2 linked regions of the Notamacropus eugenii genome follow. The protein of the gene in region 2 interacts with the protein of the main gene of each other region in a biochemical or structural test. Links are inferred from orthologs where the notes say so. Each region holds a gene or a part of one and is shown on either strand. Other genes may lie near its edges.

Region 1 (7,781 bases), about 220 Mb from region 2:
GTCTTAGAATCCTAGACTTAGAGCAAGAAGGGATCTCAGGAGCCAGACACTTCAGTCTCCCTTATCTTACACGTGAGCGAACTCAGACTCAGGGAGGCTCTTGCGCCTTCCCCGAGGCAAGTTGTAAGTCTGCGGGGCGAGAGCGGGCCGAGTCCTCCCAACTCCAGGGCTTAGTAATCAGAGCTCGCGCATGTGCACACCATGCCTCAGCACCTGTTGGACATCCATCCCCTGCACCGCCAGCCCGAGAGGTCTCAGGTTGTCCGAGCTAAACTTGCCCGGCAAACTTCTAAGCATTTGCTCTCCTTCTCTGTCTGTCTGTCTGTCTCTCTCCTTTCTCCTCCTCTCTCTTCTCTTTCTCTCCACCTCCCTTCCATATCTCCCTCTTCTTTCTCCCTGTCCTCTGTCTCTTCCTCTCCCTCTTCCATTCTCTTTCCCAGCCCCTTTTTCCCATCTCTCCCTCCCTCCTTCTCTGTGTGTCTCTGCCTCCTTCCCTCTGGTCACAGAAGAAGATAGTCACCAAAGCTAAACTATGCCCTTGATGCCACTTTCTTCCCCTTCCTCCAGCACTTTCCAGTGTCGGTCAATCAATCCCCTATACCCTCCCCCCAACCATAAACTTCAATTTCTCCCTTTTCGATGGCACCCTGCTTCCTGGCTCTGGGGGACAGGCTGAACTACTGAAGGAACATAATGAACCATTCTTTAGATGGGAGAGGGGAGAGGAAAAGGAGGGGAGAGCTCCACTGTTCCTTTCTATCTTCTCTACCCCTTGGAGCAGCTAGGTGGTATAGTGCCAGACTCGGATTCATGAAGACCTGAATTGGAGCTCTAGTTGTGTGAGCCCCAGCGTGTTAGCTCCTCTTCAGCTTCAGCTTTCCCATCCATAAAATGGGAATAATAAAACCTACCTCCCAGGGTTATTGAGAGGACTAAGTGAGATAAAGTACATGAAGCATTTTGTAAACTTTGAAGTGTTCAATGTTGACTATTATCATTATCTCGATTACTGCATAATTCCTCCCTTCCATGAAACAGCCTTCAGATTCAAACCCTTCCCTGCTTTCCTCTCTCCTTCCACCCCCTCTTCACTCACTTGCCTCAATTCCTTCCTCCCTATAGGATGGAATAAATGGAGAGAGGCCGTGCTGTGGTCCAAGGAACCTGTCCAGTCTCTCTGGAAGCTGTGAGTGGCATGGTGAAAGAACACCGAGCTTGGTTTAGAGTTGGAGTCACACAGCCTGGGTCCAAATCCCTGCCCTGGGGCTTAGGTCCCATGTTACGTTGGACAAGTCATTTCCTGTGTGAGGGCTTCAGATTCCTCCTCCAGGTTAAATAAATTGGACCCAGTTTCTGAGGACCCTTCTAGCTTGGGCCATCTGGGTCAGGGACTCTCCTCCCCTTTTTCCCTCCCTACGAGGACCCACAAGGTCTCCTCAGGGCAAAGGACACGTGAGCAAGTCCCTAGGGCTGGGAGCAGGTTCTCCCACATTCCAGGGTGAGTCGTAGGTGGAGGGTGTGCCTGCCTCGGGCTGCTGGGGGAGGCCCCCTGAAGGGCTGGGGAAAATCCTATGACCAGAGCCCCAGGCTGCTTCTGCCACCCCTGACCCAGTGGGGCTTGGGGCATTAACACCTTGTCTTCTGGATGCCATCTCTCTGTAACTTCAGAGAAGACAGCCCTGAGGCTCATTGCCAAGACAAAACCCTGGGGGGCACATGGGACTTCTGGGGCTCCCAGTCACAGAATGGTTGATTTTTTTCTTTTTTTCTTTTCTTTTTTTTGTTTAGAGGAGAGGAGAGAAAATATATGATTGTTAATTGACAATTTTAAATTTAATTTGAAAAAAAATATTGTGTCCTACCTGAAGTTGGCACTAATTATTGGGAAGGAGTAAGAAACTCACTGTGCTCTCTGTATGGGGATATAGATATATAATGTGTATATATATGTATATACAATATGGTGTATGTATAGCATTATGCATATACATACACATACATCTACATATATGTGTGTGTACACATGTGTAAGTGTATACAGACATACATGTGGGTCTACTCACATACACTATATGGGGAGGGAGGGTTGGCCCAGTCCCAGCCCTCAGTGTATCTTCTGCTTCCCTTCTCCTCATGTTTCCTCCTTCTCCTGGGGGATGTCTCCTCATTGGATCCTGGTGAGGAGACAGGGCTTGCCCCTGGTCCCACAATGGGAAAGAGACATTAGTACTCAGAGCCCAAGGATTCTCCTGCCTTTGGTCCCATTGCAGCCCCAGGCTGCATTGCCGGGCAGTTAGGACCCCTGAGGGGTTCTTGGGAAAGTTTTGACCACCAGGGGGCAGCAGGCAAGCATTGGTGAATCGTTGGGGCATAGGAGAGAGGTTGGGGTGAAGGATGAACTGCTTAGAAGATGGGGGGAGGGGAAGGGAAGGCAGTCTCTTCTTGGCTGCATCCAACCTCTCTGGATAGCGGGGAGGGGGAGGGGGAACAGATAATGACCTCCGGTAACACATCGATACTGTATATTGTTAACAACAAAAAAGTCCTTTAAAAATTTCAGTCCAATTTGAAACTCCCATTAAATCCTGTGATACGTCCATTTCTCAGATGAGAAAGCTGAGGCTCAGAGAGGATTAAGTCCCTCTACCATGGCCATACAGCAAATGGCAGGGCCTAGATTCAAAACTAAAGCCTTCTGATGTCTAGACCAAGGCTAAGGAGCAGGTTCTGGGCCAATGCCCAAAGTCCTCCATGTCTCTTCTGCTCCATTTTTGGTAGAGCAGTCCCTATGTTGCTCCCCAGAAATAGCTGCAGACAGAGCTCTGAATCGGGGAAAACATGGGCATCTGGTCCTTCGACCAACCCCAAATCCTTCCAGAATTCAAGAAGAGCCTACCAGGGATGAGAAATCAGCTTTCTCAGTCTTCCTTCCCATAAATTTTTAGATCTCCAAGCACTTACAGGGATCACCTGAATGTAAAGAGTGGTGGGGTACATGTTCCCTAAGGTCCCTTCGGAATCTTAATCCTTAAACCAGCTCCAGCCCCCACCCAACTCTGCTCCCAAGGCACCTCTGGGGGACAGCCAGGAGCCCAGCAACCCATCTCACTGTCTCTTTCTCCAGGCCCTCTGGGGAATTTCCTGAGTCTGAGGGTGGTACCACCAGGGGTGCCCACCCTCTCTCCTGCCAATTTCCCCCACCCCAGTGTCCACCCCAGAGGGTGAGGGATGACAGACACTGACAATCATTAAACCAGCCTAGCCTGATTTCCCAGCACCCTCCCGCCCGCCTGCCTGGGATATAATATGCAAATCATCAAGGGCAGGGAGCCTGGGTCCCGAGGCCAGGAAATCCCCTTGGTCCAATGAGACTGCCCGCCTCAAGGCTAACCCGCTCAGGTTACAGCAGAGGAGCTGCATATAAAATGCTCCTGCCCTGGGAGGAGTCTGCCTTAGGCTTTATTTAGGGCGGAGTGAGAAGGGAAGCCGGAGGTACCTAGATGCTGTGTTCATTTACCTGCTGGAGTTAACTTGCTACCTGGATTACCCACTGCTGCTGACTGTCCTGGGTCTTACACTCTGGTAGGTTCCCAACTCACCCCCGCAGAAAACATGCCTCAGCAGCATGGGGCTCCCCAAAGATCTAGGTAGGACTTGGGGAGGGGAATGTGCTTCTTTTCACCACCCCTCCCATCTTATGCATGAGGCTCCAATGGAGGGATTATCAGGTCTTTTACTGACTTGTCCCAATGTCAGAATCCTAAGACTCTCAGAGGTTCATGGGGTGGAGGTGGAGGGAACCTCTGATTTGAGGGGTTCTTTGGGATCAGTCTCCCCATCTTAAACTGCCCCAGAACATCAGATGCAGAGAAGGGAACCTCGGTAAAGAGGAAGAAGTCAGCATTAAAGAAATCACTTTTCCTACCTAAACCTTAGAGAGGAATTCCAGGAAAGGTTGGGTCTGGGCAGACAAAGATTTAAATCCTAGGCTACCTGCCTCCCCACAGCAATCAGCAATTTCTTGTTAACCTTGAATCTCAGCCCTATTCTTGTGAAAGCTGTATTGGGAATTCTTGATTATTGGCCCGAGGGATTGGGAGATGCTGGCTCTCCCCCTGACCACTTGAAGTGGGGAGACAGCAGACTGATATATCACTTGCTGTTTCCACTGACTAGATGAATGACCTTGAGCAAGTGGCTTAATTTACATGCAGACCTCCCTTTGTACATTTACAAAATGATCAGTTGGGGAGAATTGAATTCTTTCCAGATTGGAAAGTCTTTAGTTCCTGTGGGGATTTTTAAGGGGAGGATAAAGAATGGGGTATTGGGGGGGTTTTGTGCCCAGGCTTGCTACCTTATTAGCCCAAACCTCTGAGTCCAGAGGAGGGGAACAAGAAATGTGTCTAATATCCCAACTAGGAGCCTTGGTCTCTGATCCCGGACCCCAGTTTTTCTTTTCTTGACTTTTCTTAACTTTAACCACAGAGAGGAAACCTCATGGCTGCATCTTGTGAGATCAGCAACATTTTCAGCAACTATATCAGCGCCATGTACCAGGCAGAAGACCCAGCTCCAGCCTCATCAGCCACCTTGGGTGGGGACGACCCAGTGCTGACCCTGAGCAATGCACAGATGCCCCTAGAGGGCACAGGTGGGTCTGGGAGCACAGGGAGCCTGGAGGAAGTGGAGTGTAATCATCCAAAGAGCTTGGAAGTCAGGAAGGCAAAGGAGAAGGGAGTCTTAGATGGCTTCCCCACCCCAAAGAGAGAGACTCAGAGCTGGGATCAGAGAGAATGTAGGGGAGGAGGAGTAAGTGAGGATAGCTTAGACAGAGTGAGTGCTGGGAGGCTGGGAGTGGTTTTGGGGGGAATATACATGAAACACTAATACAATAGGGGCAGCAGTCAAAGGTCTACGGGGATAAAGTGTGAATGGAGAGGCAGAGGTGAGACGAGACGGGGCAACCATTTCCCTTGTCCTATTAACTTAGTGCCCTCTTCCTTTGCTAGACAAAGGCAGCTGGTCAGGAATGCTGCCCCACTTGTGGTCAAAGGACCAGGTCCTAGAATGGATTGACTATCAGGTGGATAAGAATAAATATGATGCTAAAGCCATTGACTTTACCCGATGCAATATGGATGGTGCCACGCTGTGCAACTGCCCCCGAGAAGAGCTGGGCCTGGTCTTTGGACCCCTGGGGGATACGCTCTTTGCCCAGCTGCAAGACCTCTGTGAGTGCCAAGGAGGGTTCTGTCCCCCACATATCCCAGGGTTAGAGCCACCAATTGAAATGACACTCTCAAGGGCTCTGATGGCCAATCTAGAGGGCAGGTTAGAAGTCTGAGTTTGACCAGAAAGTTAAGGGAGACTGGTCTGGGGGTTCCAAGTCCTGGCAAACTAGTATATTTAAGTAGGTGCCAGGATTGGCATTAAATTAAGCCTTGTCCTAAGGATAAATTTAGAGAAGGTGGGCCCTGTGGTGGGAAGGAGCCTAGAGTCTCAGCCACCAGCCAGATATGGATTATAGAACCCTGTAAAAAGAAGAAAAAGGTGAGGGCTACTGAATATGCCCTGCTGATACCTTGACAGTAACCCCCCATCTCCTCTTTCCACCCTCCCACTTCACTTCCTTCATGCCTTCCTTCTTTTCTCTAGCATCTGGCTCATCTGATGAGCTTAGCTGGATCATTGAGCTCCTGGAGAAGGATGGACTCATTTCTCAGGATATCATGGGAGATTCCACCTTTGGTAAGAGTCCCTACCTTTCCCCTTACTTCTACCTTCTTGATCTAGCCCCAGGAACTTTTAAACCAGATGACCTCCAACCAGCCTAGGGTAAATTGACTTCCAAATCTCCGTGATTTAATTCTCTTTGGGCAAACCATCTAACCTCCTAGACCTCAGTTTCCTTTATTAATGGGAAATAGGGTGTGGGGGGTGAGAAATGGGAGTATTAGATTAGCTGAACTCTAAGGACTCTTCTGGCTCTAAATCTAGGACCTGTCAAAAGTCCTGAAAGACCCTGGCCCCAGGGACCCAGCCAGTATCCTCCCCCTTACCTGGAAATATACACGCACTTTGTCTTCCAGGACCCTCATGAATATGCCTATTTTCTGAGATAGCCAGCCCCACCCCATTCCTCTGTAGTCAGTGCTTATCCCTACTATCTTCTCTCCCCAGATCATGGCAGCCCTTTCAGCCAAGATTTGTTGGATGATTCAAGGTTGGCCAGTCCCTATTATCCAGGAAGCTACGGGACAGGGGCTCCTTCTCCAGGCTGCTCAGATGTGTCCACTTCAGGTAAGAGTCCAAGTCTTGGAACCCTGAATCTCCCAGGCTCTCAGCTTTGTACCCAGGGCTACACCTCCTATAAGAGGGACAGGGTTAGCTAAGGAGAAACAGAGCTCAGCCAGACTTGGGACAAAAGGACTCGGATGAACCTGGGCTGAGGGTGTCCAAGCCGTTTGCTAGCTTGGGGGATTCACCGGGTTTCCTTCCTTCCCTCATCTAGGGACTGGAACCTCCCAAAGTCCCCACTCAGACTCTGGTGCAAGTGATGTGGATTTAGACCCCACAGACAACAAACTCTTCTCTTTTCCCAGTGGTAAGTGAGGGGAAAAGGTTATAGAGATGGGCCCTCCCCAGTGTGAGAGGGCAGGCAGATGGTCCCTGATCTATTTGAGAGGAATAGTGGTGGGATTCAGAGTTGGTTGTCTGGAGAGGGGAGTTAAACACCCAGCTAGGTGAGTTATCAAGGTCAGAGTGGGCAGTACCTGGCTGGGCTGGCACAGAGTATGGGACTGATGGAGGGTCAGAGGCTCAGAGATCAGAGTGAGTGAGAAGTGATGGGTGCTTTGAATGCTCCAAGGAGACTGTTTGATTAGCTAGGGGGTGGAGGAAGGAACCAGAGGCCAAGTGAAAAAAAAATGACGGGACCCAAGGGGAGGGGAACTAAGGGAGCTTCTCCTGAATCCTTGAGGGTATGAGAAAACAGGTTTTAATATAAGTGAAAGGAACGGTGAAGGCCCTTAGGAGTCTTGACTTCAGCCATGAACCTGCTTGAGTTTGGATTCCTGGCTAGGGAAGCTGGGGAGGGAGGGAGGAGAAAGTAATGACAGATATCATTCCTATACATTCAGAGATACTGGAAAATAGATTGGACTCCCAACTTACTCCCATTTTCCTTCCTTCTCTCCTAAGACAACTTCTCTGACTACAAGGAAGGGGACCTGAAATATGGGAAGAGGAAACGAGGACGCCCCCGAAAGCTGAGCAAGGAGACCCGAGAGTGCCTGGAGAGCAAGAAAAGCAAACATGGTAAGAACTAACCTCTTACTATGGTTGTTGCCATTGGGGCAGGAGTGGGCAGGGGCAACTTCTGTTTGGGGTTGAAGGGGTTAAACAGTCTCTGGCACTGCGTAATTTCCAAAGATCTTCCTCAGTTTTATGATCTCACATTTAGCTTCAGTTTCCTCATCTGTCACTTATAGCTAAGGATACCTGCCCTGTTTGTGAAGTAAGTCAGGATTTTTCATATTGTTAAAGAAACTGAGGAAAGTAGCTTTCCCAAGGTCACACTGCTGTTTTGTGGCAGAACTAGGAATCACAGAATGTTAGAGCTAGATAGCTTCTCTAGTCCAGTCCTTTTATTATATACGTGAGGAAATAGAGGCACAAAGCAGTTTATGACTTGCCTTTTAAGTGGTTAGCCAGGCCCCAAATCCCATCCTTATAGCCCAATGTTCCTTTATGCCAAGAGGTAAGTCTGTTCTGTTGGG
Region 2 (7,781 bases):
AATAAATCTTTATCCTGACCTCAACAATGCTTGAGCCCATGAATTCATTCCATGTGACCTGCCCCTGGTACTCAGGTCTCTGTGGGGGTCTCAAACTCCTCCCTTCCAGTCCTCATCAGAAATATCTTTCCTCCAGATCTCTTTCTATTCAAACAGGAAAGGATACATTCTGAAAAGATTGTAATGTAAAAATTATAGAAACATACTAACCTTTTTAATTAAGATGAAAATATTAATATAAAGTATTGCTACAGTTTAAAGTTCTTTCCAGATTTACCTTAAGGGAGGAAACTTGATCAGGACTTAATTGAATTTCTTGGCAAAAAGAATGCCCTTCACTAAAATCTTTTATCTTAGTATTAATCTCTTTCTTTTAGGAAAGTATGTATTGTCTGGGCTGTTGTGTAGTTTTGTAAAACATGTCCATAATAGTCACGTTGTGAAAAAAAACACAAAAAAAACCCTCAAGAAAAATAAAGTAAGAAAATATACTTCAATCTGTATTGGGACACCATCAGTTCTTTGCCTGGGGATGGATAGCATTTTTCATTATAAGTCCTTCAGAGTTGTCTTGGATTATGGTATTGCAGAGAATAGCTAAGACATTCACATTCTTAGAATTTTGCTTTTACTTTGTACACAGTACATTTCACTTTGCATCAGCCCATGCAAGCCTTTCCAGGTTTTTCTGAAAGCATCCTGCTCATCATTTCTTATATGTAGTACAAATAGTATTCCATTGTAATCACATACCACAACTTGTTACACCATTCTCCAGTTGATGGGCATCTTCTCAATTTTTAATTCTTTGTCCTCAGAAAAGAGTTGCTATAAATATTTTTGTACATAGAGATTCTTTTCCTCTTTGTTTTTTGTCTCTTTTTGGGACACTGGCTTAGTAATGGTATTGCTAGGTCGAAGGGTACACATGGTTTTATAGCCCTTTGGGCATAATTCCAAATTTCTCTACAGAATGGTTAAATCAATTCACAACTCCATCAACAATGCATTAATGTTTCATTTTTCCCACATCCATTCCCAACATTTGTCATTTTCCTTTTCTGTTCCGTTAGGCAATCTAATAGGTAACAAGTAGTACCTCAGAAGTGTTTCTATTTGCCTTTCTCCAATCAATAGTGATTTAGAGTACTTTCTCATATGGCTATAGATAGCTTTGATTACTTCATCTGAAAACTGATCATATATTTTGATCATTTATCAATTAGGGAATGGCTCTTATTTCTTATTGAAGTAGACATTATCCCCCCCCCCCCCCGCCCCGGAGCCCCTGGGTTGAGAAATGTCTGTTGAGTTTCTAGGTAGGGTTGGGCCCCCCTTTGCCTAGTAGCCACTTTCTGTTGTGCCCCCCTTGCCTAGCAGTTGCCCCCTCTTTGCCTAGCAGCCACCCCCCCTTTGCCTAGGAACCCACTCTCTGTCGTGCCCCTTTGCCTAGGCAGCCACTCTCTGTTGTGCCCCTTTGCCTAGGAGCCCACTCTCTGTTGTGCCCCTTTGCCTAGCAGCAACTTGGGCCCCTGTCAAAACTGTTCTGTGAGATATGTTTGCTGTTAAAACCACAAAGCTGTACTGAGAAGTGCCGAAATGCTTAAAAGGCACACACACACCTTTTTCGCGGCTGCCTCTTCTGGGTTTTTCCATGAGACAGCCGCTGGCTAATAAAGACGCTCTCAAATTCTCAGGTGACTCTTGCCTGTGCTTTTTCTCTCTCTGTCCATTTCACTTATAAATCTGAATCAGTTCTCTTTTGTCTGAAAAATGAGGCCTGTTATCAGAGAAACTTGCCTCAAAAATTTTTTTCAGTTACTATGGCTAATGATATTTTCCTCCATCCTACTGAAAGCCCTTGCCTTCACCTCACCCTTGTTTATTCCATTATCTGCTTTCACTCTGTTCCTCCTCAAGTGTTTTGCTTCTGACTACCCCCTCCCCCAATTTGCTCTCCTTTCTATCACCCTTCGTTTTTGAAGAAGACCATGACATCAGAGAAATGATGACATGACTTGCACTTGACTTTGCTTTGAGTGAGGGAGGGCTGCGAAAGGTCACCAGCCTCACTTTCTCCTCCTGAGCCATATGGGTCCCATGACCCATCAAGATGACTGGAGGTGACCCAGGATGCAGTGTTAGGCTGGCCTTTTCAGGTACTCACTTCGAGGGAGGTAAAGACCATTGAGTGAAAAGGCCTCTTTAAGAAGTAGTCAGGGAATGGCCCTTTTAATGAACAACAACAACAAAGAAATAACTAAATCAATCCGGAAGGGAAACAGAAAATGTTACCATTGATAATCACTCTAAACTAGCCATTAAGTGGAGCTTGGGCAGGGTGTTGTCTGGAAATTGTATTAAGGATGGTAATCAAGTTTAGAAGGAGTAATAATTCAGATGTAGTTAAGATCATTGCCCTCCTTGGTCCCTTCCCCCTTCCCCTCTTCTAAAGAGAGTTGTGACTCCTGGCCAGCTCCTGCCCAGAACATCCCCTTCCTCTTTCAGAAGTGGCACTTCTAAATGTGTCCCCCTGCACACAGCAGGCACGAAATAAATGCTTCTTGTTTTCTGAAGCGCCCTCTTCCCTCTCTACTCCCAATGGCCTCCTTATGGAACATCGAAGCCCAAAGCTCCCTGCATTACAGAAGTAGGAGAAGGAGGGAACGGGAACGTCACATATAAAGCCAGGCATGGTGGATGTGTCGGCTCCTTTCTTTTGGACTGTTCTTCCTCATTCTTTCCCATCTACCTGCTTATCTAGCCCTCTTCTCCTGAGTGCCAGTCCCTCACCACAAACTGTCTATTCGATATTTCTCCCACTGGCATTTCAAACTCAACATATCCAAAACAGAAATCAATTTTTGCACTATGTAGCTCCTTGGATGATGGGGAGAAGGTTCTATTTTCAAAAGGAACTGTGTTTTTATATTATGTGTATACACATATATGCACTCCTATATATACATACATACACAACCATCGCTGATAAAATATATTTATATATTTTAATGATGTAAGTACTATGAAATATAACTGTTAGATAATACCTAACAGGTACACGGAAGCGCTTTACAACTATGACCTCATTTGATACTCACAGCTACTTTGGGAGACAGGTGTTGTTACCGTTATCCTCATTTTACAGATGGGGAAACTGAGGCAGGCAGCGATTAAGCGCCGTGCTCAGGGTCACAGAGCTGGCGTCTGGGGCCAGTTTTGAACTCAAGTGTCCCGGACTCCAAGCCCTCTGCTGTATCCGCTGCCTCGGGCCAATAAAAAAAAAAGGATAAAATTCATTTTCCAAATTACCATCACACAAAGGTGCAGAACAGAAACGTCCTCCACCAGCCAACCAGCGCTTATTAAGCCCCCAAGTGCTGGACACTGAGCTGAGCGCGGGGGACATAAAAAAAAAAAATACGCAGCTTCCCACTGCCTAAAACAGAATAAAATTATTTAGGAAGAGATTGAGGTGGGGGGAGCGCAAGGATGCTAAATAGAGGAGCCCGGGCAGGGTGGATGAAGGAGCAGACAAACAGGTTAGGGAGGAGACTCCCGGGGGCGGGGAGGGGCGGAGCCTCCGCGTGATTGGCTGGGAGCGCTCACCACGCCCCTCCCTCGCCTCCCGGAAGTGCCCGGTCGTTGGCTCGCGTCTCCGCCCGGCGTTTCCGGGAGGGGAGCGAGCCGGGCGTCCCCGCGGCGCCGCGCTGGGTACCCAGCTGTGCGGGGCTTCGCCCAGCGTTCGGCGCCGAGGGAGGGGTCCGGGCGCGCGCGGCGCCCACGCTCGAGCCGGGCCTCCCGGGGCTGCGGCGGAGCTCGAGCCGCGATCGGAAGAGGAGGGCTGTGGGCCCGGCCCCGCCGCCCCGGCCGCCGCCGCCATGGTGCAAATGGAGACGCAGCTGCAGAGCATTTTCGAGGAGGTCGTGGTGAGTGCGGAGCCGGTGCGGACCGCAGGAAGGGGAGGAGGGAGAGAGATGCCTTCCCCTGCTGTGGCTCCCCCAGCATGGATCAAACGCCTGCTGTGTGCCGGGCCAAGCGCGGGGTAGCCAAAGAGAAGGAAAACCAGGCCCTCGCCCTCCCCAGGGGGGAAGACGGTGTGCACGCAACCTCGCGTAAGCAGTCTGCCGTGATCCATGAGAAGGGATTCTCTCGGGGAAAGCGCTAGCGACCAGGAAAGGATTCTTGCAGAACGTAGAACTGGAGTGGAGGCCAAAGGGAGAAGGGAGAGCATGCCAGGCAGGGGGCACGGCCCGGGCAAAGGCATGCAGGCTGGAGATGGAATGTCCTGTTCGAGCACCAGCCAGAAGCCCGGCGTCTCTGAGTTAACAGACTATGCAGAGGGGAGCGGAGAATAAGATTGCAAAGGGAAAGGGGCAGAAGTGGGAAGGCCTTTACACGTCAAGCATAAGATTTTATATTTGATCCGAGACCTCCAGGTGGGAGTAAGATTTGTCCAGTCAGACTACATAGCTGCTACTCATTTTAATGTTTTCAGGCCAATTTCTTGGGAGCCACTGGAGTTTATTAGGTAGGGAGATGAGCTCGGCCCTCCAGATAGGAAGTTTGAGGAGGACAGAGTTCGTGGGGGATTTCACCCCTTTTATTGGAAAGTGCAGGTAATCCAGAATCCCACAGCTCATCGTGTTGAGCGCACGGTTTACCAAAACCCTTAGATCTGTTTTTCAGAAGAATGGGGCAGACTGATGACAAGTAAAGAGGCCCTAGGTGAGGGGGAGGATCCAGCAGCTGCCATGGTCATGTGCAGTTGGGGGCCCTCCAGGCCAAGGTTTCTGAGCCTTCCTGGGAGCTTCTGTGTCTTGGCTTAGAACACTTAGAGATGAGGTCTTTCCTTCATGGGAGAAATGGTGAGGACGCAACTCCTTTGCCTTGTACGTTCCCTCAGGCTCAGGTGGCCTCCCTCCTCTCTGCCACTGCAGCTCCTAGTCCTTCAGAACTCCTCAAGCGCCCCCTTCTACACTGGACCTTCCCATTTCTTTCAACTATTACTGTTAATCCTCTAAAATTACCTTGTATTTGTGCAAGGCCTCTTATTTTATGGATAAGAAACAGGCCCAGCATGATTGTGACTTGCCTCAGGTCACCAGGCTGTTTCCTCTGATAGAATGTAAGCAAATTGAGAATGGGGACTGTTTCATTTATTTCTGTATATGCACAGAATACAGTAGGTGCTTCATGAATGTTTCTTGCTTGGTTGATTAGTCACTCCAAGCTAGTTTTGGTCCTTTAGTCTGAAAAAGGTTCACTTTGACTAAACCTAATGTGCTTTATTGAAGGTCACACAACAAATCAGAGTATGAGAGCCCAGACAAATTGGGAATATATTTAAGTACTCTTAAAATTTAATGGCGTTTTTTTTGTTTGTTTATTTTACAGAAAACAGAAATCATAGAAGAGGCATTTCCAGGGTAAGTATAATGCAAGATAAAAATCCGTTTATGTGGTATCTATTTCTTTCCCTGTCCTTCTCTAGTTTCTTGTCATTCTGGATATCCTTTAATAAGCACAATATTTGGTAGATAATGAGGGATCTGTGCAGGGTTGCTTTTTAATCACGATGGTGACCATTTGTATGTAGCAGTTGGTAGCAGATGATAACAGTATTTTCTTTCTTTAGCATGTTTATGGATACACCAGAAGATGAAAAAACAAAACTGATCAGCTGCTTGGGAGCTTTCAGACAGTTTTGGGGTGGCCTTTCTCAGGTGAGCACTAAAGTTTAAATAATATCTCATATGTAATGTTGTGATTTTAAAATATTTTTACATATGCTATCATATTTGATCCTTATAAGCCCCATGAGGTCGATAAGACAAGGATTTTCTTTTCAAACTTCATCTGGCAGATGAGAAAACTGTGTATATAGTTACTTGCTTTAGATGGGGAAACCAGGACTAAAATTTGTATACATTTCATTATATTGCTTTAATATAAGCAGCTCTCCATGTTGTTTTTTAAAGATTCAAGGAATGGGGATTCTGTAGTCTCTTCCTGTGTTTAACTGTATTTTGTTGGTGGTGGGTAGGAGTGAGATTCATTATGTCAAACTAAATAAGAATATTTTAATGTCTTTAAAATCTGTATAGTAGCTTTCCTGTAAAACTTTGGCAGACCAAAAGGTCAATTTACAACATAGGAGCCAAGCATTCTCTTTGTTCCCTTGTATTCAGAAACAGCAGGAATCAGCAGTGCCCTATGTAAGTTTTTTTTGTGCCAGAGGATAGAAAAGATAGTAAAGATACTTTCAGTTGGGAAATAAGGGAAGACAGGAACACTGATGGAAGTAGAGGCAGGGCCTTACTCCTTTGGTTTATCTGCAGAATCATATCCATCTTAAAGGTGGGAGACTTGACTTCTAATCCCAGCTTTATCATATATTAGCTTCATGACCTTGGGTGAATCACTTGCCCCCACCCCTTTCTCTGAGCCTCAGTTTCATCATCTGTAAAACCACAGGGTTGGATTAGATAAGGATTTCTTATCCTGGAGTCTGTGAACTTGTTTTTGAAAAAATATTTTAATGTGGTTTTTTTTGTAAGCTTATATATTTTATTTTTAGGCATTTAAAAACATTATTGGGAGGAGGGGGTTCCATAACCTTTACCAGACTGCTAGAGGGTTTTATAACAAAGAAAAGTTAAGACTTTAAGAACTTGAATAGATAATTTCTAATGTCCCTTTGTCACTGTAACATTCTGTGACCACCTAAACCTTACTTGCTCAGCCACTGACTTCCCCTCATATATGTTTAGGTATAAATTTAACTATCTCCCAATAAAAGCTTAGAAGTGATAATGGATTGTATCTGTGAAAAAGAGAAAATAAAATAAGAGTTAGCAAAGTGTATCATGAGACAAGATTATATGGGAGATAGTAACAAACCTAAATTTTATTATTTCTTACACTTCCAAATGGCTAATACTTATTGTGTAACTTGGGCAAGCCACTTAGTCCCTGTGGCTCATGTTCCTTATCTGTAAAACTGAGGCTGACAGACTTCTTCCTATCTACTCTTTTGTTAAGAGTATAACCAAAACATAGCGAAGGCTTTTTGTCCCAGACAGGCCCAACTACAGAAGGAACAGATTGATGCCACAGTTGTGGGAGCAGTACCTATAGCTGTGGTTCATCCTTCATTTTCTAAGGGGACTAATGACATCATTAGTGATGTCTTAACTTGGGGCATGAAGTGGATTTTAAATGAGGTAGAATTGCACAAAGTTGTCAGCTTCACTCCTTTCCTGAGTCATCAAAGTCCAGTGGCAGGACAAAAATCAAGACAACTGGCGATGGCTCAGGATGACTGCTGTCTTCTCTTGGCTCTCCATGCTCCACAGTTCTTGTTTTAACCACCTTCATCACTATTGGAACAACTTGTTCTCATCTACCCATTCTGCCAGGGAAAGTCTTCACATGCTTGAGTAGATGTTCCCCTACCTTACCTATGGGTTTGAGGCCTGTCAGTTTACCCTCAAACTAATTTAGCCTGACTGCTGAGGTGGTTCACCAGGGTGTGGCCATTGTACATGCTACAGCTTCTTGGAGCTACAGGTGAGAACTGGGTGAAGGTAGACACCAGAGGTGGATGAGTAGCCCTGAGAATGGTTCAGCAAGCCCTCATACCAGCAGTGCTAGCCTTCCCTGAACACCCCATACACATCTGTACATATGATACTCCACAAAACAAGGCGACACTAGAAGGGTAGGAAGAAATGTTTTTGTCTACCACCATACCAGAACTAAACATCTCCCTTTCCTGC

The links.
Region 1: the proteins of mediator of RNA polymerase II transcription subunit 23 (region 2) and ELF3 form a complex in vitro, tested with the Homo sapiens proteins (4 studies listed by BioGRID, with this or other methods). The link is inferred for Notamacropus eugenii from reciprocal best matches to the Homo sapiens genes MED23 and ELF3.

Annotation. Positions count from the first base shown.
Region 1 is NC_092873.1:438,366,747-438,374,527, reverse strand, and holds the start of ELF3 (ETS-related transcription factor Elf-3), read left to right. Parts: upstream 1-3,449; 5' UTR 3,450-3,582; intron 3,583-4,488; 5' UTR 4,489-4,500; coding exon 4,501-4,654; intron 4,655-5,012; coding exon 5,013-5,234; intron 5,235-5,658; coding exon 5,659-5,751; intron 5,752-6,183; coding exon 6,184-6,303; intron 6,304-6,514; coding exon 6,515-6,607; intron 6,608-7,203; coding exon 7,204-7,320; intron 7,321-7,781. UniProt on the Homo sapiens protein: Transcriptional activator that binds and transactivates ETS sequences containing the consensus nucleotide core sequence GGA[AT]. Acts synergistically with POU2F3 to transactivate the SPRR2A promoter and with RUNX1 to transactivate the ANGPT1 promoter.
Region 2 is NC_092873.1:216,606,243-216,614,023, reverse strand, and holds the start of mediator of RNA polymerase II transcription subunit 23, read left to right. Parts: upstream 1-3,674; 5' UTR 3,675-3,881; coding exon 3,882-3,929; intron 3,930-3,942; exon of another isoform or gene 3,943-4,115; intron 4,116-5,397; coding exon 5,398-5,429; intron 5,430-5,638; coding exon 5,639-5,726; intron 5,727-7,781. UniProt on the Homo sapiens protein: Required for transcriptional activation subsequent to the assembly of the pre-initiation complex. Component of the Mediator complex, a coactivator involved in the regulated transcription of nearly all RNA polymerase II-dependent genes.